Linked DNA regions of Struthio camelus. The protein of the gene in region 1 purifies or fractionates together with the protein of each later gene. This does not show direct contact. Links are inferred from orthologs where the notes say so. Each region holds a gene or a part of one and is shown in the gene's direction. Other genes may lie near its edges.

Region 1 (7,600 bases):
CAGCCGGTCAGCCTTGGCTATGGCTGCATAAGCATCTGTGGGGCCGTTGGACTCCTGCAGGACACAATTGCCTCACTGTCAGCGTCAGCTTCTCCTACAGCCCAGCTCAGCCACCTCTAAGGGCTGACACCGCAGGACAGGGCTCTGCGTTCCCATCACTGAGAAAGGCTGAAATGGGTGGCAGGGATAGTGACTACCCTCCACACACCAGCCCAGGGCATCCAGCATAGTGTCCCCACAGCACTGCTCAAGCTGCCATCCCAGTTCCCAGCCCTGGGGCCCAGGCCCCGCCAGATGGCAGGACTCACCAGCCCCCCTCTCCGTGGCTGGCTGCTCGCTGCGAACATGACGCCCACGTTCTTTGCGCGCCCCACGGCAGAGAATGGCCAGGTAGCTTTGTGACATCGTGCCCACAACCACATGGCCTCACTGTGAGGTCACAGCGCTGGGCTTTCACAGCTCTGACTCGGGGCAGAGGCAGGAGAGGTAGGGCAACCCCAAGAATTAGCATCATCACAGGTCTGGCAGTTTGGCCACCGCAGACTGAAAGAGCCCAGGCGAGCAGCAGGGCCCAAGGGAGGCACCACTCTGCCTGGAGACCCGCCTGCAGGCAAAACCTCCCTCGCTCCTCGGAGCAAGCTGCCCTCTATAGCTCCCGCCAAGCCCAGCATCCTGCTCTGCCCACATCAGCATCTCTCCTAACCCCTACTGCTGGTCAGGATGCCCAGCCCCACTCTAAGCTCAGGGATGGGATTACAGCTCTCCTCCAAGATCCCCAAATCTAATTAAGTCTGTCCCATCTCTGATGTGATTATCATCCCATAAACTAAGCACGGGCAATGCACATGCCACAGCACTTGGTAGCGAGTGGAACGAAAAGCTCGTCAGCTTCTGGCACTGCTTCCCCTGTCGCCACCGCAGCAGGGCTTGGGGCTCCCAGAAGGGGCTGAGACCCAGGCAGGAGGCCCCCTGACACACCCTTAGCCATGAGGCATGCGGGTTTAAGGAGAGATGCTGCCGGGGCTCTATAGCAAGACCACTGCCGTGCACCAGCAAAGGGGGTTCCCCACAGCAACCCTGTCCTGTCTCCAGACTCTGCCAAGAGATGTTCCCTACTGCCCTAGAGGCCTCCAGGAGCCAGGCTAGAGAGAGGGGGCCTTTGGAGAATGGAGGATTTCTCCAGGCTTTTCATCTGCTCTTAGGATCCAGGCACTCCTTCAGGGCACAGCCCACCTGCAAACAGATTTGGAGCAAGTTGGGGCACAGTTGGAAGAGGATCAGGCTGGTTCTGCCAGTCCCAAAACTTCTAACTCCCAGCCCTGGGCCATGGTAGGGGGGACAAGACTTTCACACAGAGGTGAGAACAGAGCAGTCAGAACTCCCTCACATGAGACCCAGATTTTCCCAGGAGCACCACAGCTGTTCCAGGCTGGACAGCAAAGTCCAACCAATCCTGCAGACAGGGCACCGGAGTGCTGGCCCCGTACCCACCTAATCTCCCTTGGCAACACCAGCCAGGGCAAGGGGCTGAGCTCTCACCTGAAAGACATCTCCATTGACAGTGGCTCCTCCATTCTGGAAACCAGCTAGAGAGGAAGAGAAAAACAGCTATGGCAGCTGCAGGTGACCCCACAGGGGCTGGTGTTCATGAACCAGCGGCAAGTCGGTTCAAGAAGGACGTGACTTTGCTGTTTCCAACCCAGCACACCAATCCACAACAGCCCTCCATACATGAGGCAGAGACGGAAGACCTCCAGGCTGGCCAGAACAATGGACACCAGCTGAGCCACATCAGAGCTCAAACAGAAGCCAGCAAGGTCTCTGCGTTCAGAGGACGTCACGTTCCCAGCCCAATCGGCTCTGCCTGCTCCCAACAGGGCCCCAAATCCCCCCCTTTCCAAAACAGAGCAGAGCATGGCAGCACAGCCCACCCTGCCTGCCCCAGGCCCCAGTACCCTCGCCCCACACTGCCTACTGATGCCAGCAAGGGGAAGGGGAAGTGCACTGTCTGCACTGGTGTCCAGAGCCAATAACCCAGCAAACCCTCCCTGCGCTGCTGCTGTATGGTACCTGGGGTCTCCTTCCACCCGTGAGAGGGCTCAGGGCTGCGTCCAGTGGTCTCCTGTCCCTGGTGGAATTCAGCCAGCACCTCTCCTTCCTAGAGGAATCTCCCTGAGCATTTATGTCTTTATGGTGTTTTCACTGGTGTTTTATCTTATCTGGAGATTAGGGTGACTGTTTAAGGCACGGGACTGGACAAAGATAGATACTTTGACTGCACCGAGACAACCTGAGCAAATCTGAACCTGCAAATGGCCAGGCAGAGGATGCCTGTGGACATGGACTGGTGACCCCACAGCTGTCAGCTGAGTCTCCAGCAATCTCCAGCCAGCAAAGGCAGAGCTGTTTTGAGCCTGTGACAGGAAGGCAAACCTGCCAGGAACGGAGCCCACAGAGACACTGCAGTGCACTCTGCGAGCAAGGAGGAGGGCAGGCACGCATACCGAGGTCCTCAAGAACCTGTCTGGGGAATGCACGCAATTCCCTGGGGTTGGGAACGAGGCACTGCTGATGCCCATGGCTGCAGTACATCCCCACCTCCTTCCCAGCACCAGAGAACTTCCTGAGAGCTGCACACCAGGGCCACAAGACCAGCCCCATGGGGGCTCTCTGTTGCTGTGCAGAGAAGAGGCTTCGCAGGAGGCAGACTCCAGGCCCTGAGCTCTCATCAACGAGGGCCAGGCCAGCCAGGGGCACAGACAGCCACACAGTGACAGCACAGCTCTGGAGCAGCTCAGACAAGCACTCTCCCTATAGCACTGGTCCTACAGCTCCGGCTACACCCAGCTTCAGCCTGTCTGACTGCATTTACTGCCACAGCTGCCAACGCCTCTCTGGGCTCCAGAACCGGCTCCATGGCCCTGCTTCTGGGGTGGTGAAACACCACCCCGCAGCCAGCACGGGAGGGCCCTGCAGGCCTGCCAGGGGAAGGAGCCAAGAGGACTGTGGCAGCAGTGGGGCCCAAATGGAGGCATGAGATCCGGATTAGCACCTTATACCTCCAGGGGCTGAGACACTGATGTCCCCGCTGGAAATGCCTTCCATTTTGCATGCCAAAGCACTCTCCGGTCTTTGGGCCAGTGAAGGGGCTGCCCAGCCCCATATGGATGGCTCACTGTCCCCTAATCCCACCTGGATCCCCTTCACCCTGCTCCAGCCAGAGGGACTGAGACGTGGGGGAAAGGGAGGGTGTCCAGCCTGGGGAACCTAGCCTGACCATACAAAGAAAGAATCATTCCACAGCAGGCAAGCCCAAGCTCAAGGGTCATGCCAAAACCTGAGGTTCAAGGAGAGGGAACCCCAAGCCCTGGGGAGCCAAGCACAGCCCCCCGGAGAATCATGACGGGGATGCAGATGTGGGGCACAGGGGGGTCCCCACTGCCTGCCCACTGGGAGTGCAGCACAGACCCAGCACACGGGGGGTTCCCATCACCCACTGAGGGTACCGTGCAGCCTGCAGGGGACCCCAAATCAGCAACCACCAGGGGTGCAGCCCGGGACTGACCCCACTCTGTGCCCATGGGAGTGCAGATCGGGGAGGGGGGTGCCCCCCCACCCCTTCTCCTTCAGGGAGCAGCCTGTGGGGATCCCCTCTGTGCCCTCAGTGGGGCAGCCCAGGGACGGATCCTCCTTTACATCCATGAGGGGTGCAGCCCGGGGGGAACCCTCCCCTCGGGGCCTTCGGGGGAGCAGCCCAGGGCCGGATCCTCCTGCCTTGAGGACCGCAGCCCGGAGGCGCGCCCCCGCCGGCAGTGCAGCCGGGAGGACCCCGCGGCCCCCGGCGCGGCGCTCACCCGGTTCCGGCGGGGCCGGGGCCGAGGCCGGGGCCCCTTCGCCGTCGGTCGGCCCGAAGCCCTCGTCGTTCTCGATGCCCGCGATCGCGCTCTCCTGCTGGGCCAGGAAGTCGGCGGCCGGGTCCTCCTCGGCGGCGGCGCCCTCGGACGAGGAGAAGAAGCCGAAGTCGTCGGCCATGGCGCCCCCCCGCGCTCCCGCTGCGGCTGCAGGCGCGGCGCGGCCCGACTGGGCCCGGGCGTAGCTGTCACTGCGGCGGCGGCGGCGGGGGGGGGGGGCGGCGCCGCCTGACATCAGCGGCGGGGCGGGCCAGGCGGGGCCGCGCCCGCGCACCGGGCCCGCGGGGCCCCCAGCCCGGCACCCCCCGGCGCAGGGAGAGCCGGGCTGCCCTGCTGCCCCACCGGCGGGTTTCCCTCCGGCCGCCGTGTGGGCACACGCAGGCGGGGGCGCCCCATGTGCCCGGCAAACGGCACACCACCCCCCCCCCCCACCGCCGCCGGGCGCCCTGCCCAAGCGGGGCCCTGGTGCCCCGCGTCCTGCTCCTTATCCGCCTGCCACCACCTTGTCGCGGTGCTGCCCCGGCCGCTGCCGGAGCCCCCGCGAGCCTGACGCGGTCCCGGCGCGGCCCCTACGGCCGGGCACTGGGGCGCGGGCTCTCCGGGTCGCCCCACTCCCCCCCCCCCCGCCGCCCGTGGCTGCATCGGCCCTAGCCACGTGCTCGCTTTTAGCCCTTTTCATTTTGAACGCGGGGCCGGGCTCCACCGCGGCCCTGGAGCTGGCGGGACGGCGCAGAGGGCGCCCTCCGCCTCCGCCATCTTGGCTGGGGACCCCCCCCTCGTCCGCCATCTTGGGTGGGGCCGTTGCCTGTGGGTGGGGGTCCTCAGAGAACTGGAGGTGCTTGGACAACACCCGCCGGCGGCTGCGGGACCACCTCGGTGACTGGCCGACAAGCCAGCGCCGCGTGGGCTCCGGCCTGCGAGTTCTGCCACGGTCCCCCCGCCTCCCCCGGCGACCCGCGGCCGCCAGCCCTGGGCACAGCCACGGAGCAGGCCTGAGGCGGCCGCCGCCCTCGGCCGTGTCCGGAAATGCCCGAGCGGCTTTCGGAACTCTTCGTGTGCCAATCGGGAGCGCCCGAGCGGGTCGGGCCTGCGAGCCCTTCGGACGCGGTTCGGGCATCTCCGGCGGTCTCCGAGAGCGTTTCGGCCATCTCCGGAACGCGGCCGAGTATTTCCGGCTGTGGCCGAGTAAGCGGCCGTTGGCTCGCCAGTCGCGCCTGCGCGGGCGCGCGTGCCAGGAGAGCCGGGGCGGAAGTGCTGGTGGGCGACGTCACTTCCGGAGAGTGACGGAGCGGCGGGTCAGAGGCGGCAGGAAGATGGCGGCGCCTGAGGAGCGGGAGCTGACGGCGGAGCAGACCGAGAAGCTGCTGCAGTTCCAGGTGCCGCGCCGGGGGGGCACCGGGCCGCGCCGGGAGGCAGCGGCGGGGCGGCTGGGCTAGCCTGCGGGGCTGGGGTCCTGCTGGCCTGCCGCGGGCCGGGGGGCACGGGGCGCCCGGAGAGCCGCTGCAGGCCCCGCCCGGAGCGGGCCCGTGTGGGAGAGGGGCGGGGGAGGAGAGTCCTGTAGGTCTGGCCCGGGTGGGGGCGAGGGGGCCGCTTCCTGGTAGGGCACGGCCCCCACTGGCGTGGGGGTCCCGCCGGTGCGGGGCTGGCACTGCTCGGGCTGCCCCGGGCCGCCGCCCGCCTCGCTGAGGGTCAGTCGGCGCTCTGCGTGCTCCTGGCATTTCATGAGGAATGGTGCCTGTCAACGTTAATTCGGAAGGCAGGAAGCGACTGGTGAATAAACCCCATTACCTCTGCGTAGGGGAAACTTCTCGGTCTGTTCCAGCCATTTTAATTATCTAGTGTGAAAAATTCCCCTTGTTGTTACTGGTGAAAGGAAAACCCTTCCTGTTATGTGAGGAGGACTGGCCAGCGGGTTTCTATACAATGCGGTTTCTCACAAAATTGTTCCTAACCCTCAAGGTTGGGTAATAGCTGTTGGGGGAAGGCCACTGGGGCTAGTAATGATCTAATCTTGCTATCTGCTGCATAGCATGGGCTGGGTGACGTAACCTTTGGTTTGCCAAGTCCATGGGGCTGTGCAGCAGTCAGATAATTTAAAAAAAAATGCAGATTTTTCTTATTAGAAAAGTGTGCTGCAGTCAGAGTTGAAATACTTTGGGCTGCTCGGTGAAAGGTAATTAAACTATTACTGATGAATGAAAATTGTGGTCAGGTGTCTTGGGTTTGTTTTTGAATTGTAGGGCATTGCAGAGACTTTCTTGGACTTTTTTTTCCTGCAACAAAAGTAATCTTTTCTTTCAAGAGTTTTGTTTAATTTTTGTTCCTTCATGTTCAGTTTATCTTAAGAACATGCTTTGCTTTTTTTGATGCAATATAACTGTAGAATTACAGAGCTTAGAGGTATTTCAAAAGCATCCAGTCCTGCCTCCTACTACTGAGCTAGGTCATTTCAGACAGATATTTGCCTAGCCTTTCTATTTGACACCTCTGAACAAGGGGATTCAACCATCTCCTGAAGTAATACACTGCAGCGTTTCTCCATGGTTGACTTCTTGCTGATACGACATCTGAATGTATACTGCAAATTAAGCTGATTGGGCAGTTTTAATTTACAGTCAAATGTTCATGAATAGCTTTAACAATTTCTTTCCCAGTGCTACTGTTTTCCTGGTAAGTGTGTGAGCTTCAAGACGCTGACTTGTGCTGCATATTATTGCTAACGTATATGTAAAAATCGACTTTTGGGTCTATTTTCCTCAATGTTAGATATCGCAGTACTTAGTCATCTGCTGAATCTGGATAGATAGGATCAGCTGCACTTATTAGTTTCACTGCTGCTATTTTCAAAGCCCTGTGGGCAGCAGTGAAACTGTATGGAATTGTGTCTGTTTCCTAATGCTACCTCTGTTACTGCTGTGAGTAGCAGGCTAGGGCGCTGGAGGCTCCTGAGAAAGGAGGGAGAAGGACTCAAAAGGAGGGCTGTATGTGTTAGTCCAGCTTTCTTGTGAGCTCTAGTTTGAAATGGAGGGAGAGGGCAGAGGAAGAAGTCCCTTAGAAAAAGGGAGAAGCTTTAAGGTTAAGACAGCTGTTGTCCAGAGCTTGATATGAAAGAGAGAATCTAGAAGGCTTCAATACCAGGATCCTCTCATTCATGTACAGCCTAGGGTACACAGGATTAGCATTTCACCAGGGTTGTGCTAAGGACCTACTTCACTGGTGATGTCCATCTCCTGTGTTATCTTTATACCTGGCTGGAAGGGCTCGGGCATGCGGTCCTGCTTGTTGTGCTGGAACGAGAGTAAATCAGTCCATCTGGAACAGCTTTTGTTTCCTTTAGCTCTCTGAGAAACTCTGGATTCTTTTAAATAGCATGCGCTTGGAGAAGACTTATGTCTTGCTAAAGTCATCTGTACATTGCTATTGTTGCAGAGCACACTTACAGTTGGAAAACTGCAAACCTTCCAGGGATTCTCACCCTCTTGGCAGGGGGCGCTTCTTGTATGCTTTCTAAGGTTGCTTTACGCTTTCATTGTGACACACCATCATAAAAAGTAATTTTTGCAATATTCTGCAGCCACAAAGCATTGTGTTTCCACAGAAGTCATACCACTACAATGTAAATAAAGTGGGAGAATAGATTAGGAGGGAGGACAGTGTGGATAACTAAGATAAGAACTTTCTGCTATTGC
Region 2 (7,338 bases), on another chromosome or scaffold:
CTGGGCCTGCCCGCCTACCGCGCCTGGGTCGAGAGGTGGGGACGTGGGGACACATTGGGGACACCGCGGGGACCTGGGCCTGCCCGCCTAGTGCGCCTGGGTCGAGAGGTGGGGACGTGGGGACACACTGGGGACACTGCGGGGACCTGGGCCTGCCCGCCTAGTGCGCCTGGGTCGAGAGGTGGGGACGTGGGGACACTGCGGGGACACTGCGGGGACCTGGGCCTGCCCGCCTAGTGCGCCTGGGTCGAGAGGTGGGGACATGGGGACACATTGGGGACACCGCGGGGACCTGGGCCTGCCCGCCTAGTGCGCCTGGGTCGAGAGGTGGGGACGTGGGGACATTGGGAGGACAGGGGAGCACAGGGCTGCCTGCCTGTCACATCCGGGGGGGGGGGGGCACTGGGGACATGGAGGGGGGCATGGGACCTGTGCACCCACCATGCCTGGATCAAGAGGTGGGGACATGGGACGGGGGGACATCAGGGACATTGCTGGGGGGCACATGGCACTGCTGGCCCTCCTGAGTCCCTCCTCACCCACGGGTGGTTGGGGGGGGGGGATTTGGGGTGCCCACAGCCCTCCAGGAGTTGGCAGGCTTGGAAGGGTTTGGGGGGGGGGTCCCGGCTGCCCCCCAGGAGCTGTGGGGCGCCCCCAGGTACTACCGGGCCGTGGGGCGGCTGGCGCCCATCAGCGAGGGGGAGATGGACGCCTTCCTGGCCGAGCAGTCGCGGCTCCACGCTGGCGAGTTCGACACGCTGGGGGCTCTGGGGGGGCTCTACCAGTACGTGGGGCGCTACCGCGATGAGGTGGGTCCTCCCAGTAACCCCCAGTACAGCCCAGTCCCCCCCCACCAGAGCTGCAGTAACTGAGGCTTACCATTCATTCCCCCCCTGAAATGGTACAGGCCAGTGGGACCCCCCCCCATTACAAATATTGGTACAATCCAGTAGATTCCCCCCAATAATGGTATGATCCATTGGGAGGTTACCCCCCAATAATAGTTCGGTCCATTGGTTCCCCCCCCCATGATAATAGCCATGATAACAGCAGTCGAGTAGTGCCCCCTCCCCAAATAATAATGGTATGCACCAATGGACCCCCCCCATTACAAATAATGATAGAATCCAGTAGGAACCCCCTTTAATGGTACAATGGTACAATCCATTAAGTTCCCCTATCATGGTATGGTCCAGTGGGGTTTTTTTCCCCCCCCCAAGGTTTTGCAGAATGGTACTGCCCAGTAGACCCCCCCCCCAATCAAAGAGATGAGGGAGTCAAGGGAAAGTTCCCCCCCCAATTAATGGTATAGTCCAGTGGGCAAAACAGTAATGGTGGGACCCGATCGATGATTCCCCTGCTCCATAGTAATGGTATGGCCCAATGGGCCCATTCCTCCAAAATAGTAGAGTCCAGTCTGCACACCTCCCCAGCTGATAATGGTATGCTCCACTAGCTCCCTGTCCTTTCACTGGTACACTCCAGCCCCCCCCAGCTGATAGTGGCACCGCCCAATAACAGCCCCCCCCCCCCAAATAGTACGTTCAGGCCCCCCCCAGCTGATAATGGCATGGCCCAATAGCAGCCCCCCCCCACCCCAAAATAATGGTATGTTCCAGTCCACCCCCTCACTGATAATGGCATGGTCCAGTAGCAGATTATCCTCCAACAACGGAATGGTCGAGGGCCCTCACCCCCCCCAGCTGAAAAACACCCCGATAGTGGTATGGTCCGGGAGCACCTCCCCCCCCCCAAACTAGTATGTTCTAGTGTCCCCCCCCCACAGATAATGGGATGGTCTGGTAGCAACTACTTCCCCCCCCCGTAATGGTACACTCCAGTAGCGGGTCACCCCCCCCCCCGCAGTGGTGTGACCCCCCCCCCCCCCGCAGGTGCTGGCGGCGCTGGAGCGCGACGCCGGGTGCCGGCAGCAGCGGCTGCGGCAGCGCCTGGAGCAGGTCCTGGCCCTGCTCGGGCCCCCGGCCTGACCCCCCCCGGGGGCCGGGACCCCCCCCGGCCCCGCCCGCCCCCCCCCCCCCGGGCGCGGTGCCTTATTTATTGTGTCTGTGCCCCCCCCCCCATGTTCGTTAACTTGGTGTCGCGCATTAAAGTGCTCCCCTCCCCCAAAAACACAGCAGCCTCCCGCGGGCTTTATTTCGCGGCACGACCCCCCCCCCCCGGCAGCTTGGGGTGGGGGGGGGGCAGGTCCGGGGGGGTCTCACTGGGGGGGCCCCAGTTTGGGGGGAAACCCCCAATCGCTCAGGGTCCTCCCCGCCGAGCCCCAGCCTGGGGGGGGGTGTCCCATTTTGGGGGGGGGGTCCCCAGTCCGGGGGGGTCCCCGTTGGGGGGGGTCTCAGTCCGGGGGGGTCCCCAGTCCGGGGGGGTCCCCGTTGGGGGGGGTCTCAGTCCGGGGGGGTCTCAGTCCGGGGGGGTCCCCAGTCCGGGGGGGTCCCCGTTGGGGGTGCCGGCTAGCGGGGCCGGGGGGGCCCGAAGCGCTCCATGGTCTCCACCACCAGCTCCAGGTGCTCCAGGAAGGAGCCGACGGCCACGCGCAGGCTCCGCGCCTCCGGGGCCCACCACCGCCTGCGGGGGGGGGGGGAGCTGCCGCGGCCCCCCACAGCCCCAACCTGCCCCGAACCCCCCCAGCGCCCCCTCCTGCCCCACGACCCCCATCCTGCCCCATGACCCCCCCATCCTGCCCCCTGCACCTCCTCCTGCCCCCAAACTGCCCCCATGACCCCCCATCCTGCCCCCACTGCCCCCTCCTGCCCCCAAACTGCCCCCATGACCCCCCATCCTGCCCCCACTGCCCCCTCCTGCCCCCAAACTGCCCCCATGACCCCCCCATCCTGCCCCATGACCCCCCATCCTGCCCCCAGCGCCCCCTCCTGCCCCCAAACTGTCCCCTGCACCCCCCATCCTGCCCCCTGCACCCCTCCTGCCCCCAAACTGCCCCATGACCCCCCATCCTGCCCCCTGCACCCCCTCCTCACCTTCCACCCCCTCCCCAAACTGGCCCAATGACCCCCCTGCTGCCCCCAAACTGCCCCATGACTCCCCCATCCTGCCCCCTGCACCCCCTCCTGCCCCCAGCGCCCCCTCCTGCCCCCAAACTGCCCCCATGGACCCCCCACTCTTTTCCCATTCCTGCCCCCCACCCCGCCGTGCCCCAAATCGCCCCCGGCGCCCCCCGCTCACGCCTGCAGGTGGGGGCCGTCCAGGGCCAGGTCCCGGCGGACGCCCCCCCGGCGGGGCTGGGCGTCGGGGGCCAGGGAGCCGTGGGCGATCTGCGCCTCCAGCGCCGACGGGAAGGGCACGCTCAGCCGGCTGGCCGCTAAGGAAGCGCCCCGCGCCCCCCCCGGGGCCCCCCCCAATTCCACCGCTAAACCTCCCTCCCCGGCCCACGATTCCCCCCACTTCCCTCCCTACAGCCCCCCCCCAAACCCCATCGCTCTCCTCGCTGCCCCCCCCAATTCTCCCTTCAGACCCCCCAAACCCCCTCTCAGCCCCTCCCCATACGCCCTTAAGCTCTCTGATCCCCAGAGGCCCCCCAGTATCTCCCAGTTCCCTCCCTGGGCTCCCAATTCCCCCCCCAGGCACCCTAAACCTCCCCTGGGCCCCCAACTCCCCCCCCGTGACCCCTCAGTTCCCTTCCAAGGCCGCCCAGCCTGCTCCCCAGTGCCCCCCTCTAGGCCCCCCCCAGTACCTCCCAGTTCCCTCCTTTGGCCCCCCCAGTTCCCCCTCTAGGCACCCCAATGCCTCCCTCTGCCCCCCCAGTCCCTCCCCCAGTGCCCCCTCTGCTTCTCCAGCCCCCCAATTCCCTCCCAGCCCCCCCCGGACCCCCATAACCCCTCAGAGCCCCTCCAAAGCCCCCTGACCCCCCCAGCCCTCCACTGCCCCCTCTGCCCACCCCACTGCTGCCCCTGTCCCTCTTTAAGCCCCCCAGGCCCCTCCCAGCCCCACAACTCCCCCTCTAGCCACCCTGATCCCTCTCTGGGACACCCAATCCCCCCCCAGCGCCCCCAGGGCTCCTCCATTTTCTCTCCAGCCCCCCAGCTCCCTCCCAGCCCCCCCATAACCCCTCAGAGCCCCTTCAGCGCCCCCTCCTCGGCTCCCAGCCCCCCCGGTGCCCCCCGGACCCCCAGCGCCCCCCGCCCCGGGCCAGGATACAACTCCAGCCCGTCTCGCGCCTCCGCCGCCATCGCGCCGACCGCTGGCGACGTCACAGGCCCCGCCTCCCCCTCCGCCCGGCGCCGCTCTGGCCCCGCCTCGATGGGCGGGAGGGGGCGGGGAAGGGAGCGAGTGGGCCGCTCTGGCCAGCCGGTCCTCCAGGCGGGGCCGTTAGGGGGCGGCGCTACGGTGGCCGCGCGGCGAGGCGCTCTAGCCGCGGCGCTCGCTGGTGGCCGTTAAAGGGCCCGCGGCCCCCGCGGCGGCGGCGCTCCCGCTCCCGCCATGCTGCTCACGGTGAAGGCGCTGCAGGGGCGGGAGTGCAGCCTCCAGGTACCGGGGGGACGGACGGCGGCCTCGGAGGGTCACGCAGGGGACGGCGCCGGGGGAGGGGGGAGGTACGGGTGCTGGGGCGGGCCATGGGGAGCGGCGGGGGCGGGGTACGGGGCCCGGCGGGGGTCACAAGAGGGGAGAAAGCGGAGCGATGGGGCTGGCGGGGGGGCGGCCTCGGCCGGGGGGGCCGGGGGGGGTCTGGGTAAGGGCTCCCCCCCTTACTGGGGGGCTAGTTTGGGGGGCTCAGGGGGTCCCCCCTTGCTGGGGGGGGGTTGAGGGACTCCCCTATTGCTGGGGGGGGTGGTTTGGGGGGGTCAGTGACTCCCCTTGGGGGGGGCTGGTTTGGGGGGGGCTAGGGGCTCCCTTTGCAAGGGGGGGCTGGTTTGGGGGGGCTCAGTGACCCCCCTTGCAGGGGGGGCTGGTTTGGGGGGGGGCTCGGGGGCTCAGGGGTTCCCTTTGCAAGGGGGGGCTGGTTTGGGGGGGCTAGGGGCTCCCTTTGCAAGGGGGGGCTGGTTTGGGGGGGCTCAGTGACCCCCCTTGCAGGGGGGGCTGGTTTGGGGGGGGCTAGGGGCTCCCCTTGCACAGGAGGGCTGGCTTGGGGGGGCTCAGTGACCCCCCTTGCAGGGGGGGCTGGTTTGGGGGGGCTAGGGGCTCCCTTTGCAAGGGGGGGCTGGTTTGGGGGGGGCTCAGTGACCCCCCCCTTGCAGGGGAGGCTGGTTTGGGGGGGGCTAGGGGCTCCCTTTGCAAGGGGGGGCTGGTTTGGGGGGGGCTCAGTGACCCCCCTTGCAGGGGGGGCTGGTTTGGGGGGGGCTAGGGGCTCCCTTTGCAAGGGGGGGGCTGGTTTGGGGGGGCTAGGGGCTCCCTTTGCAAGGGGGGGCTGGTTTGGGGGGGGGCTCGGGGGCTCCCTTTGCAAGGGGGGGGCTGGTTTGGGGGGGCTAGGGGCTCCCTTTGCAAGGGGGGGCTGGTTTGGGGGGGGCTCAGTGACCCCCCTTGCAGGGGGGGCTGGTTTGGGGGGGGGCTCGGGGGCTCAGGGGTTCCCTTTGCAAGGGGGGGCTGGTTTGGGGGGGCTAGGGGCTCCCCTTGCACAGGAGGGCTGGCTTGGGGGGGCTCAGTGACCCCCCTTGCAGGGGGGGCTGGTTTGGGGGGGCTAGGGGCTCCCTTTGCAAGGGGGGGCTGGTTTGGGGGGGGCTCAGTGACCCCCCCCTTGCAGGGGAGGCTGGTTTGGGGGGGGCTAGGGGCTCCCTTTGCAAGGGGGGGCTGGTTTTGGGGGGGCTCAGTGACCCCCCTTGCAGGGGGGGCTGGTTTGGGGGGGGCTAGGGGGCTCGGGGGCTCCCTTTGCAAGGGGGGGGCTGGTTTGGGGGGGCTAGGGGCTCCCTTTGCAAGGGGGGGCTGGTTTGGGGGGGGCTCAGTGACCCCCCTTGCAGGGGGGGCTGGTTTGGGGGGGGCTAGGGGCTCCCTTTGCAGGGGGGGGCTGGTTTGGGGGGGCTAGGGGCTCCCTTTGCAAGGGGGGGCTGGTTTGGGGGGGCTCAGGGGCTCCCTTTGCAAGGGGGGGGCTGGTTTGGGGGGGCTCAGTGACCCCCCTTGCAGGGGGGGCTGGTTTGGGGGGGCTAGGGGCTCCCTTTGCAAGGGGGGGCTGGTTTGGGGGGGCTCAGGGGCTCCCTTTGCAAGGGGGGGCTGGTTTGGGGGGGCTCAGTGACCCCCCTTGCAGGGGGGGCTGGTTTGGGGGGGGCTCGGGGGCTCCCCTTGGAAGGGGGGGCTGGTTTGGGGGGGCTCAGTGACCCCCCTTGCAGGGGGGGCTGGTTTGGGGGGGGCTAGGGGCTCCCCTTGCACGGGAGGGCTGGCTTGGGGGGGCTCAGTGACCCCCCTTGCAGGGGTGGGGGACGATTTAGGGGGTTCATCCCCCCCCTTGCTAGAGGGGGGCAGGTCTGGGGGGGCTCAGGGGGAAAGGGCTGGTTGGGCAGGGGGCTCCAGGCCTGGGCGCGGGGCAGGTTGGGGGGCGGCGGCGGCGGCGGGGGGGGCAGCTCAGCACGGTGCCCCCCCCAGGTGTCCCCCGAGGAGCGGGTGGGCGCCCTGAAGCGCCTGGTGGCCGAGCAGCTCGACGTCCCCGTGGCCCAGCAGCGCCTGCTCTACCGCGGCAAGGCCCTGGCCGGTGGGTGCCGGGCCGGGGGGGCCGGGGGGGCCGGGGGTGTCACCGCGCTGTGCCGCCTGTGCCTGTCCCCCCCCAGACGAGCTGCGCCTGTCGGACTACGCCATCGGGCCCGAAGCCCGGCTGAACCTGGTGCTGAAGCCGCCGGAGCGGGCCGGGGGGGGCGAGGAGGGGGGCCGGGGCGCGGCGCCCCCCCCGGCGCCCCCCTTCCCCGCCATCTGGGCCCAGCTGGGCCGGGTGCTGGGGCGACACTTCGGGGCCGCCGACGCCGCCCGCGTCCTGGAGCAGCTGCACAAGGTGGGGGGGGGGCACGGACCGGGGGGGACAGGGACATGGGGGGGGGCACGGACGTGGGGGGAACACGGGGAGGGACACGGACCGGGGGGGGACAGGGACACGGGGGGGACACGGACGTGGGGGGAACACGGGGGGGGACACGGACGGGGGGGGGACACGGACGGGGGGGGGACACGGACGGGGGAGGCACGGGGCGGGCACGGACACGGGGGGACAGGGACACGGGGGGGACACGGACGGGGGGGGACACGGACCGGGGGGGACAGGGACACGGGGGGGACACGGACCGGGGGGGACACGGACCGGGGGGGGACACGGACCGGGGGGGACAGGGACACGGGGGGGACACGGACGGGGGGGGACACGGACCGGGGGGGACAGGGACACGGGGGGGA
Region 3 (8,045 bases), on another chromosome or scaffold:
ATGGCCACCCCACCCCACAGTGCCCGTCCCCATGTCCCCATATCCCCAGCCCCATGGCCACCCCAGCCCCATGGTGCCTGTCCCCATATCCCCAGCCCCATGGCCACCCCACCCCACAGTGCCCGTCCCCATGTCCCCATGTCCCCAGCCCCATGGCCACCCCAGCCCCATGGTGCCTGTCCCCATATCCCCAGCCCCATGGCCAACCCAGCCCCACAGTGCCCGTCCCCATGTCCCCATATCCCCAGCCCCATGGCCACCCCAGCCCCTCCGTGCCTGTCCCCATATCCGCATGTCCCCAGCCCCATGGTCACCCCTAGCCCCATGGTGCCTGTCCCCATATCCCCAGCCCCATGGCCACCCCAGCCCCATGCCCACACCCGTGCCTGTCTCCTCATCCATATAGCTTCAGCCCCATGGCCACCCCGGTCCCTCAGTGCCCATCCCCATGTCCCCGTATCCCCAGCCCCATGGCCACCCCAGCCCTACGGTGCCCATCCCCATGTCCCCAGCCCCACAGTGCCTGTCCCCACAGCCCCACGGCCCCAGCCCCGTGGCCACCCCAGCCCCCCCCACCGGTCCCCAGCCCCCCCAGCCCCACGTCCCCGCGCGAGCCCAGCCAGCCCGGAGCACCATCTGCCGGGCCTGCTCTTCCGGAGTTTGGGAGGAAATTTCTCCAAATCACACCAGTTTGGGCTGGATGGGCCAGATCCAGCCCGGGCTTGTAGCCTCCCCTGGGGCAGGCGCGGAGCCCGCTGCTGCGGTTTTCCCGGCTGCAGCTACTTCCCGCCCGGTGCCGGTGCCACGCGCCCCCGACGGAGGCCGCACGTGGCCGCCTCGCCGCGCGCCGGCCCCGCTTCTCCCCGGCCCCCGAGCCGGGGTCGGCACGGCTCGCCGCCCCGCCGGCCCGCTCCGCTCGGGGCTCGTCTGCCCGCCGGCGGCGCGGGAGAGGGGGCAGCCCGGGCGCCCGACCGCGGGCAGGGCAGCCGGGAACGGCCAGACCCCGACTCCGGCTTTGCGCCCAGCAGGCAGCCACAGCCCCTCTCCGAGCGCGGAGGGGAGGGGGCTGCCGGAGGGGCCGCGGGGCAGGGGGGCTGGGGCCCCGGCCCTGCGCCCAGCTCCTCTTTGCAGCCTCCTCGCCGCCTCGGCACCTAAGCGCCGGCTCCGCCGGGTGGCACCGCGTCCCGTTTGCGCCTCGAGCTTGTGCCCGGGGACGGGGAAGGCCGGCGAGGGGACGAGGAGGCCAGAAGGAGAGCGCGCTCACCGCCGCCGCGGCGCTCGGGACCGCCAGCGGGCTGGTGCGGCGGCGAGGTGCGGGAGCAGGGTTTCCGCCCGCGCTCTCCTCTCCAGCACCCGTCGCCCCGCGGGCGCGCGTGGCCCCGCCGGACGCCTCGTCTCCCCCGGCCTCCGGCCCCGATCCCGCCAGGACTTACCCCAGAGGAGCAGAGCCGCGCTCCTCGCCATCCCGGCCGGCTCCGACTCGCCCGGCCGGCTGCTGACGCTGGGCCACCTCCCCTTTGCATAACTGCTATTTGGAGAAAAGGAAAAGGAAGTGGCTTGTGCTCCCCCCCCTGGGGCATTTCCCCCATCCTCAGTGGCCAGGACAACACAGCGAGCAGCACCCAGGGGCTCGGGATGGGCCTTTGTGGGTGCCAGCTGCTTGTCGCCACCGAGCCGGCGCAGAGATGTGGCTGGCGGCAGCAGGGGGCCGGGTGCTCAGGTCTTCCCGCACGTGGCCAGCATTGAGCCAAGGGGCGACAGGAGCCGACAGAGGGTTTGGAGCTGCTAACCCCATCTCCGGGCTGGGCAGCTGGGCGAAACGGTCTCTGAGTGATGCAGCACCTCTTGGACAGGTTCCCAGCACCGGCTCTGCCGGGTCGTGCGCAGTGACCGTAACATGTCCTCTGTCACCCACGTGTGTCTGATCACTTGCAGATGCTTTGATAAGCAAATGATCTGGTGAGAACTGAAGCGAGCTGTGTTGTGCAGCCCCCGATTCTCAGCAAACAGTGAAAAAGAAGGAGAGCCCCCAGGCTCCCCCTCTGCGGTTCCCGCGGCTGCCCCTGGGGCCAGCGGGGACAGTCACCCCGTGGGACACGGGTGCACGGGCAGACAGCCTGACCGTGCTGCTGGAGGGGTCAATCCAGTCTCTTTTCTTTGCTCAGCAGGTTTATTGGAAGCAGACAGCTCGCCCTGCTCGCAGCCCTCGCTGCGGCTCCGCAGCACAGGGCATGGAGCGATCCAGGGCTTGCCACCCCGTCCTTGCAGGCTCCAGTACCTCTTTTTCAGGCTAATACTTTGCAACAGGTTAATATAGATACCGTATACCTATGCAATGGGTTACTGTGTATCAGATATACCTATGCAACAGGTTATTGTATAAAGAATATATATATGCAATGGGTTATTATATTAACATATGTGAGAAAGCTGAGGGTCCGGTTGGAGCCGTGTGTTTCCTGAGCACCTCTGAAAGCCGCTGCCGGTCGGTGTTTCTCGCTAAGCCGTAGACGCGTGGCCGGGTGGTGATGGCGGGTCGACAGGCGGCGAGCGCAGAAGTCTGGCAGGGGTAGGGGAAAAAAAGCAAACGAGGTTTTAAACCAAACGTTTCCCCCCCGAAGGGAAAGGGCGGCAGCCGGAAGGGGAGGGAAGGGCTCCTGCGGCAGCACTGCCCCAACGCGACGCATCTGCGGAGGGGGTTTTGCCCATCCGCTTCAGAGCAGCAACCGCTTCACACGTGTGCATCGCTGCTGCAGGTGCTCCCTTGTTTTTTGAAGGAGCCGATGTGTCTAGAGCCAGTAAAAAGCTAAATGCATGGTACGCCGCAGGGTAAAGTCACACAAATTTCCGTCGGTGGCGTGGGGCCAAGGTCACAGCCTGGGTTTTGTTCCGTGAGAGTGCAAACACACACGAGCGTGCATGCTCACACATGCGGTGCCCGAGGGAGCCGCTTACCTCGCCGCTACCAGCAGCAGCGGGGCAGGAGGAAACCAAGGGCGGCAGCGACGAAGACCGGGCTCATCCTCGGGTGCCAGCGGCAGGAGGCCGATCGGCCTGGCCCTGGGGAGAGAGCGCGGCCGTCACGGGGGACCTCTCCGGGGAGGGGACGGGAGGTCTCCGTGGTGGCCCCTCACCTCCTCTGGTGCCCGTCGAGGAGCAGCCTGGAGTCGACGAGCAGCTGTCCCCGGCGGTCCCGTTGTCCTTGGGTACCTGCACCCCGGGGCCCTTCGTTGGGAGCCCCGAGGGCATTTGAGCAGGGGGACAAAGTGGGGGTCAGGGTAAGCGAAGGACTCAAAGCCAGGGGCTTATGTGCCCCCCAGCTTTTCCAAGGATTAACTCCATCCTCTGCCTCTCCTCCAGCCAGGGCAGAGGTGCCGGGGAGAGGGGAAAGGACGGGGGAGCCCCAGCCCGGTGACACCCACTGCCACGGCGCTCAGCACCCAGCCAGCCCCAACCTACGGGGGGGAGGTGGTCCCACGGCGGCGGGAAGAGGGCCGGGGGGCTCTCGAGGGACGAAGTCAAGCCCTGGCTGCTGTACGACAGGTACACGCAGGAATAGGCGCCGGGCAGCGCCCTGTCTTCGATGGTGGGCGACGAGGCGTTCCTGAAGTTCTTCTTGGGGCCCTGGGGCTGTGACCGCCAGTAAAATCGGTACATGGTCACGGACGAGGTGATGGGAGCCAGGCACCGCAGGGTGACGAGCTTGTCCTGGCTGGAGCCGTGCAGGCTGAAGTGCGATGGGAGGATGCTCAGGAAAGGGGCTGGCAGGAGGTCTGCAAGGGAAAGGCTCCGGGCAGCGGGGCGGGCGGGCGGGCGAGCGGCTCCCCGCGGCGGACGGCACCCTCCTTACCTGCGGGGTGCCCGGGCTGCGGCAGGGTCTGGAGCCAGGCTGCGGAGAGACGGGGGGAGCGGTGAGAGCTCGGCGGCACCACGAAGGGCCGCTTTGGGCCGGGCGGGGAGCGGGATGGCACTTACTCAGCAGAGGCAGGAGCAGAGCGAGAGCCATGGCGAGCGGAGTGGCGCTGGGTAGAGCTCGAGCATCCCAGCCCGAGACCTCTTCCCGCACCTTTTCTTGGAGGGGAAGGAAAGGTCCTTCCCCTGCGGTCCCCGCGGCAGGGAGACAAAGGCAGGAAACGCCACAGCCCACCCCGCTGGGCTTCCTCTCCCCCAGGAAGCCCACGGGGCAGGCCCGGCCCAGCGAGGGCAACCCACCGCAGCCCCGAGCAGCGGCAGCCGCGGGCAGCCGTGATGGGCACAGCTGGGCACAGCTGGGCACAGCTTGCCAGGCCCCGGCAGCTGCTGTGGGGACGTGCTCCCCCCGTCCTGCCAGCCCCCCCGGCTCCCCCCGGGGCCGGCGGGAGCGGCTTCGCCAGCCGGGGGGACGCGGCTGCCCGGGTGCCCGGTTCACGGGGGGATGCGGCTCCCTGGGGCTCCCCAGTTCGGGGGGGGACGTGGCTTTGCCGTTCACAGGGGATGCGGCGCCCCGGTGCCCGGGGGGGGACGCGGCTGCCCGGCTCACGGGCTGCCCGGGGATGGGGGGGGGGGGGGGACGCGGCTGCCCGGCTCACGGGCTGCCCGGGGTTGGGGGGGGGGACGCGGCTGCCCGGCTCACGGGCTGCCCGGGGATGGGGGGGGGGGACGCGGCTGCCCGGCTCACGGGCTGCCCGGGGATGGGGGGGGGGGGGGGGGGGACGCGGCTGCCCGGCTCACGGGCTGCCCGGGGATGGGGGGGGGGGACGCGGCTGCCCGGCTCACGGGCGCCCCGGTGCCCGGGGTGGGGGGGGGGGGGGACGCGGCTGCCCGGCTCACGGGCTGCCCGGGGATGGGGGGGGGTTGGGGGGGGGGGACACCGCGAAGCCCCTCGCGGCGCGGCGCGGCCCGGCCGGAGCCCCGCGCTGCAGCTCCGCGCGGCGCCGCCAGGGGGCAGCGGGGCGTCCTGGCCGGGAGCGCGCTGCGGCGCCGCCTGGGGGGCGCTCGCGGAACGGCGTGGGGCGGGGCGTGGGGCGGGGCGTGGGGCGGGGCGTGGGGCGGGGCGTGGGGCCTCAGGGGCGGAGCTTGCTAGGCCGGGCCCCGCCCTCCGGCGGAGGCGGAGCGGCGCGAAGATGGCGGCGGAGCCGGGCCCGGGCCCGGACCAGGAGCTGGACGAGTTGCTCGACAGTGAGCGGGGCCGGGGCAGCGCCCGGGCCGGGGGGAGCCTAGGGCTGGGGGGGTGGTCGGGGGGGGCAGCAGCGGGGCCGGGGGGGGAGGTGGTCGTGGGGGGGGCAGCAGCGGGGCCGGGGGGGGGTGGTCGGGGGCGGCAGCAGCGGGGCCGGGGGGGGGTGGTCGGGGGGGGGCAGCAGCAGCAGGGCCCGGGGGGGTGGTCGTGGGGGGGGCAGCAGCGGGGCCGGGGGGGGTGGTTGGAGGGAGCAGCGGGGCCGGGGGGGGGTGGTTGGAGGGAGCAGCGGGCCCGGGGGGGGGGGTGGTCGGGGGCAGCAGCAGCGGGGCCGGGGGGGGGTGGTCGGGGGCAGCAGCAGCGGGGCCGGGGGGGGGTGGTCGGGGGCAGCAGCAGCGGGGCCGGGGGGGGTGGTCGGGGGCAGCAGCAGCGGGGCCGGGGGGGGTGGTCGGGGGCAACAGCAGCGGGGCCGGGGGGGGGTGGTCGGGGGCAGCAGCAGCGGGGCCGGGGGGGGGTGGTCGGGGGCAGCAGCGGGGCCGGGGGGGGGGTGGTCGGGGGCAGCAGCGGGGCCGGGGGGGGTGGTCGGGGGCAGCAGCGGGGCCGGGGGGGGGGTGGTCGGGGGCAGCAGCGGGGCCGGGGGGGGTGGTCGGGGGCAGCAGCGGCCCGCACCCCACAGCAACTTTCTGCTGCCCCAAGAGCGGTGGTGCCATGCCCCGGGGCTGGGAGACCTCCCCTCGCCTGTCCCACAGGCATCCCACCCCGATGCTGCCTGGGGCCAGGAGTTTCAGGGTCAACCCCTGCTTGGGGTGCTACAAGCCGGGACCCCCCGTCCCTGCCCCTTGTCGCACCGTCCTCGGCCGGATCCCCGCTTACCTGGCCCGGCCCCGCTCCTGTCCCCAGGTGCCCTCGACGACTTCGAGAAGGCCAGGCCCACCGCCCCACCGCCGCCTGCCCCCACAGACCCTGGCCACTCCGAAAAGTCTCCCAGCGATGCAGCCAAGGTGCGACGCCATCAGGACGTGGCCTCCCTCTGCCGCTGCCGGCTTGCCGGGGCTGGAGGAGCTGGGCAAGGGGGGGAAGAGCCCTGTTGCAGGGCTGTTTTTGCCACGGGCCAGTATTTGCCCTCTGCGAGGTTGGAAAGCAGCATCTCCTGGGGCTGCTCTGTCGCTGCCAGCTGCAGCCCTTCCAGGCATCCAGAGCAGGGCACAGCTCTGACTGTGCCCGTTTCCCTCAGGAATCACTCTTCGCCTCCCAGGAGAAGTTTTTCCAGGATTTGTTTGACAGCGAACTGGCCTCGCAGGCCACAGCGGAGTTTGAGAAAGCCATGAAGGAGCTGGCTGAGGAGGAGCCGCACTTGGTGGAGCAGTTTCAGAAGCTGTCAGAGGCAGCAGGCAGAGTCGGTGAGTGGTGCTGAGCCCCTGTGCGTGCAGGGAGTAGGTGCTGGGCTGTGGGCAGCCCACAGCTGCCATTGAGAACCCGATTCTCCTCTGCCGGGGAGAGGCTTTCTGTGGATAACTCTTACCCCACCTGGGTCCTGGGAGCCCCTCGGCCTGCAGTGATCCCAGCTGAAGCCAACTTTGCAAAGGGAGCTTCCCTCAGGATTTGGCCTCTCTGCCTTTCTCCTTCGACTGTCCTCTTAGTCCCTATGGAAGAGGAGATCCCACCTTAACCCAGCTGTGGAGCATCCCCTTGGAGCCTGCTCATCCTAAATCCCCGCCACGCAGAGGTAATCTGCGTGACATGGATTCCTCAGGAGAAGTTTGGGCTCAATCGGAACGTCGTCTTGTCATGATTAGCACTGGGGGTATATGGAGAAGTGGATGTGAAAGCAAGATCCTTCCTCCGCCTTTCCTTAGCAGCCTTCTCAGCTATGCTGGAAGGCTGGTAACAAGTTGTGTGTCACTGGGATGTCTGACTGCAATTAGAAGCACCGTGGAGCCACTTGGGGCTTAATTATGCTCCCTTAATTAGATTGGGTTTACTCCAGGAGTGTTGAAAAGCACTTGCAGGACGGTCATGCGTGGACCTGTGCAGCTGCCAAAGTCGCTCGTGGGCTCCCTGGGAAGGAGATGCATGTCAGTGCATGTCAACATGCCAATGTCACTCACTGAGAGCTTTCCCCCGTGCCCGGGACGTGGCAGGCTGGACGCAGTCAGCCTCTTAGTGGATTTAAAGCAAGCAGCGAACCCCTCAGTTAGTGGACCACAGGTCCAACGCTCAGTTGGTTTCACCACTACGAGGCTTGTTTCAACCTGGTGAACTCTTCAGGTAGCGCAAGACCGGTTTAAAAATAAATCCTGCCTTGCCAGGCTTACGCTGACATCCACATTGGCCCCAGCAGCCGTTCCCAGGGTCGAGGTCTCGGCTCGCAGCCAACTCTGCTGCTGGCTGGGCCAGGAGTCTGTTACCAAGGGCACGGGCAGAGCAGCACATGCTGCCCGAGGGTAAGATTTCCTGGCTCCGTGTGCCAGGGTTTGGCATGCTGGACTCTGGGATGTCGTCTGTGTGCCGTGGTAGCAGTTGGATTGCCCTGCCCTGCCGCCTAGCACTGCACCATGAGCTAAAGGGCAGAAGATCCTTCTTGGCCCCTTGGGATGGTTGAGCAATCGCTGTTGTCACCGGTTGTGCAGGGCAGAGGTTTGTTTGGTAACAGACAGGACAAAGTGTGCCTTCACAGGAGGGGATGCATGAACGTGGCTCTCGGAGGGCATCAGCAGCTGGCGTTTCTTCAGTGTGGACTGTGGAGAGCTCCCAGAGGACTTTCCACAGACTTGGGCAGGGAAGGTCTTAATTTAACTCTGGGCAGGTCAGTGTTTCAGTTTCCCTAGGAGTCCTGCCGTGACCGAATCTGAGGCTGTTTTCTTTCTCTGGCCATTGGACAACGCAGGATGAA

The links. The genes of interacting proteins can lie anywhere in the genome.
Region 2: the proteins of FAF2 (region 1) and UBL4A purify together in Homo sapiens (affinity purification with mass spectrometry; 3 studies listed by BioGRID and IntAct, with this or other methods). This does not show direct contact. The link is inferred for Struthio camelus from reciprocal best matches to the Homo sapiens genes FAF2 and UBL4A.
Region 3: the proteins of FAF2 (region 1) and PEX19 purify together in Homo sapiens (affinity purification with mass spectrometry; 4 studies listed by BioGRID and IntAct, counting the BioPlex papers as one, with this or other methods). This does not show direct contact. The link is inferred for Struthio camelus from reciprocal best matches to the Homo sapiens genes FAF2 and PEX19.

The regions. Positions count from the first base shown.
Region 1 is NC_090954.1:10,069,374-10,076,973, reverse strand, and holds the start of FAF2 (FAS-associated factor 2), read left to right. Parts: upstream 1-4,552; 5' UTR 4,553-5,224; coding exon 5,225-5,287; intron 5,288-7,600. Other genes in the region: CLTB (clathrin light chain B), read right to left, coding at 1-54, 1,540-1,586, 3,855-4,146. UniProt on the Homo sapiens protein: Plays an important role in endoplasmic reticulum-associated degradation (ERAD) that mediates ubiquitin-dependent degradation of misfolded endoplasmic reticulum proteins.
Region 2 is NC_090979.1:62,952-70,289, reverse strand, and holds the start of UBL4A (ubiquitin-like protein 4A), read left to right. Parts: upstream 1-4,327; 5' UTR 4,328-4,452; coding exon 4,453-4,500; intron 4,501-6,543; coding exon 6,544-6,649; intron 6,650-6,725; coding exon 6,726-6,943; intron 6,944-7,338. Other genes in the region: PLXNA3 (plexin-A3), read left to right, coding at 659-809, 1,893-1,988; EKC/KEOPS complex subunit LAGE3, read right to left, coding at 2,469-2,583, 3,199-3,327, 4,171-4,202. UniProt on the Homo sapiens protein: As part of a cytosolic protein quality control complex, the BAG6/BAT3 complex, maintains misfolded and hydrophobic patches-containing proteins in a soluble state and participates in their proper delivery to the endoplasmic reticulum or alternatively can promote their sorting to the proteasome where they undergo degradation.
Region 3 is NC_090971.1:621,044-629,088, reverse strand, and holds the start of PEX19 (peroxisomal biogenesis factor 19), read left to right. Parts: upstream 1-5,034; 5' UTR 5,035-5,102; coding exon 5,103-5,157; intron 5,158-6,052; coding exon 6,053-6,153; intron 6,154-6,386; coding exon 6,387-6,552; intron 6,553-8,045. Other genes in the region: Fc receptor-like protein 4, read right to left, coding at 1,434-1,528, 1,791-1,795. UniProt on the Homo sapiens protein: Necessary for early peroxisomal biogenesis. Acts both as a cytosolic chaperone and as an import receptor for peroxisomal membrane proteins (PMPs).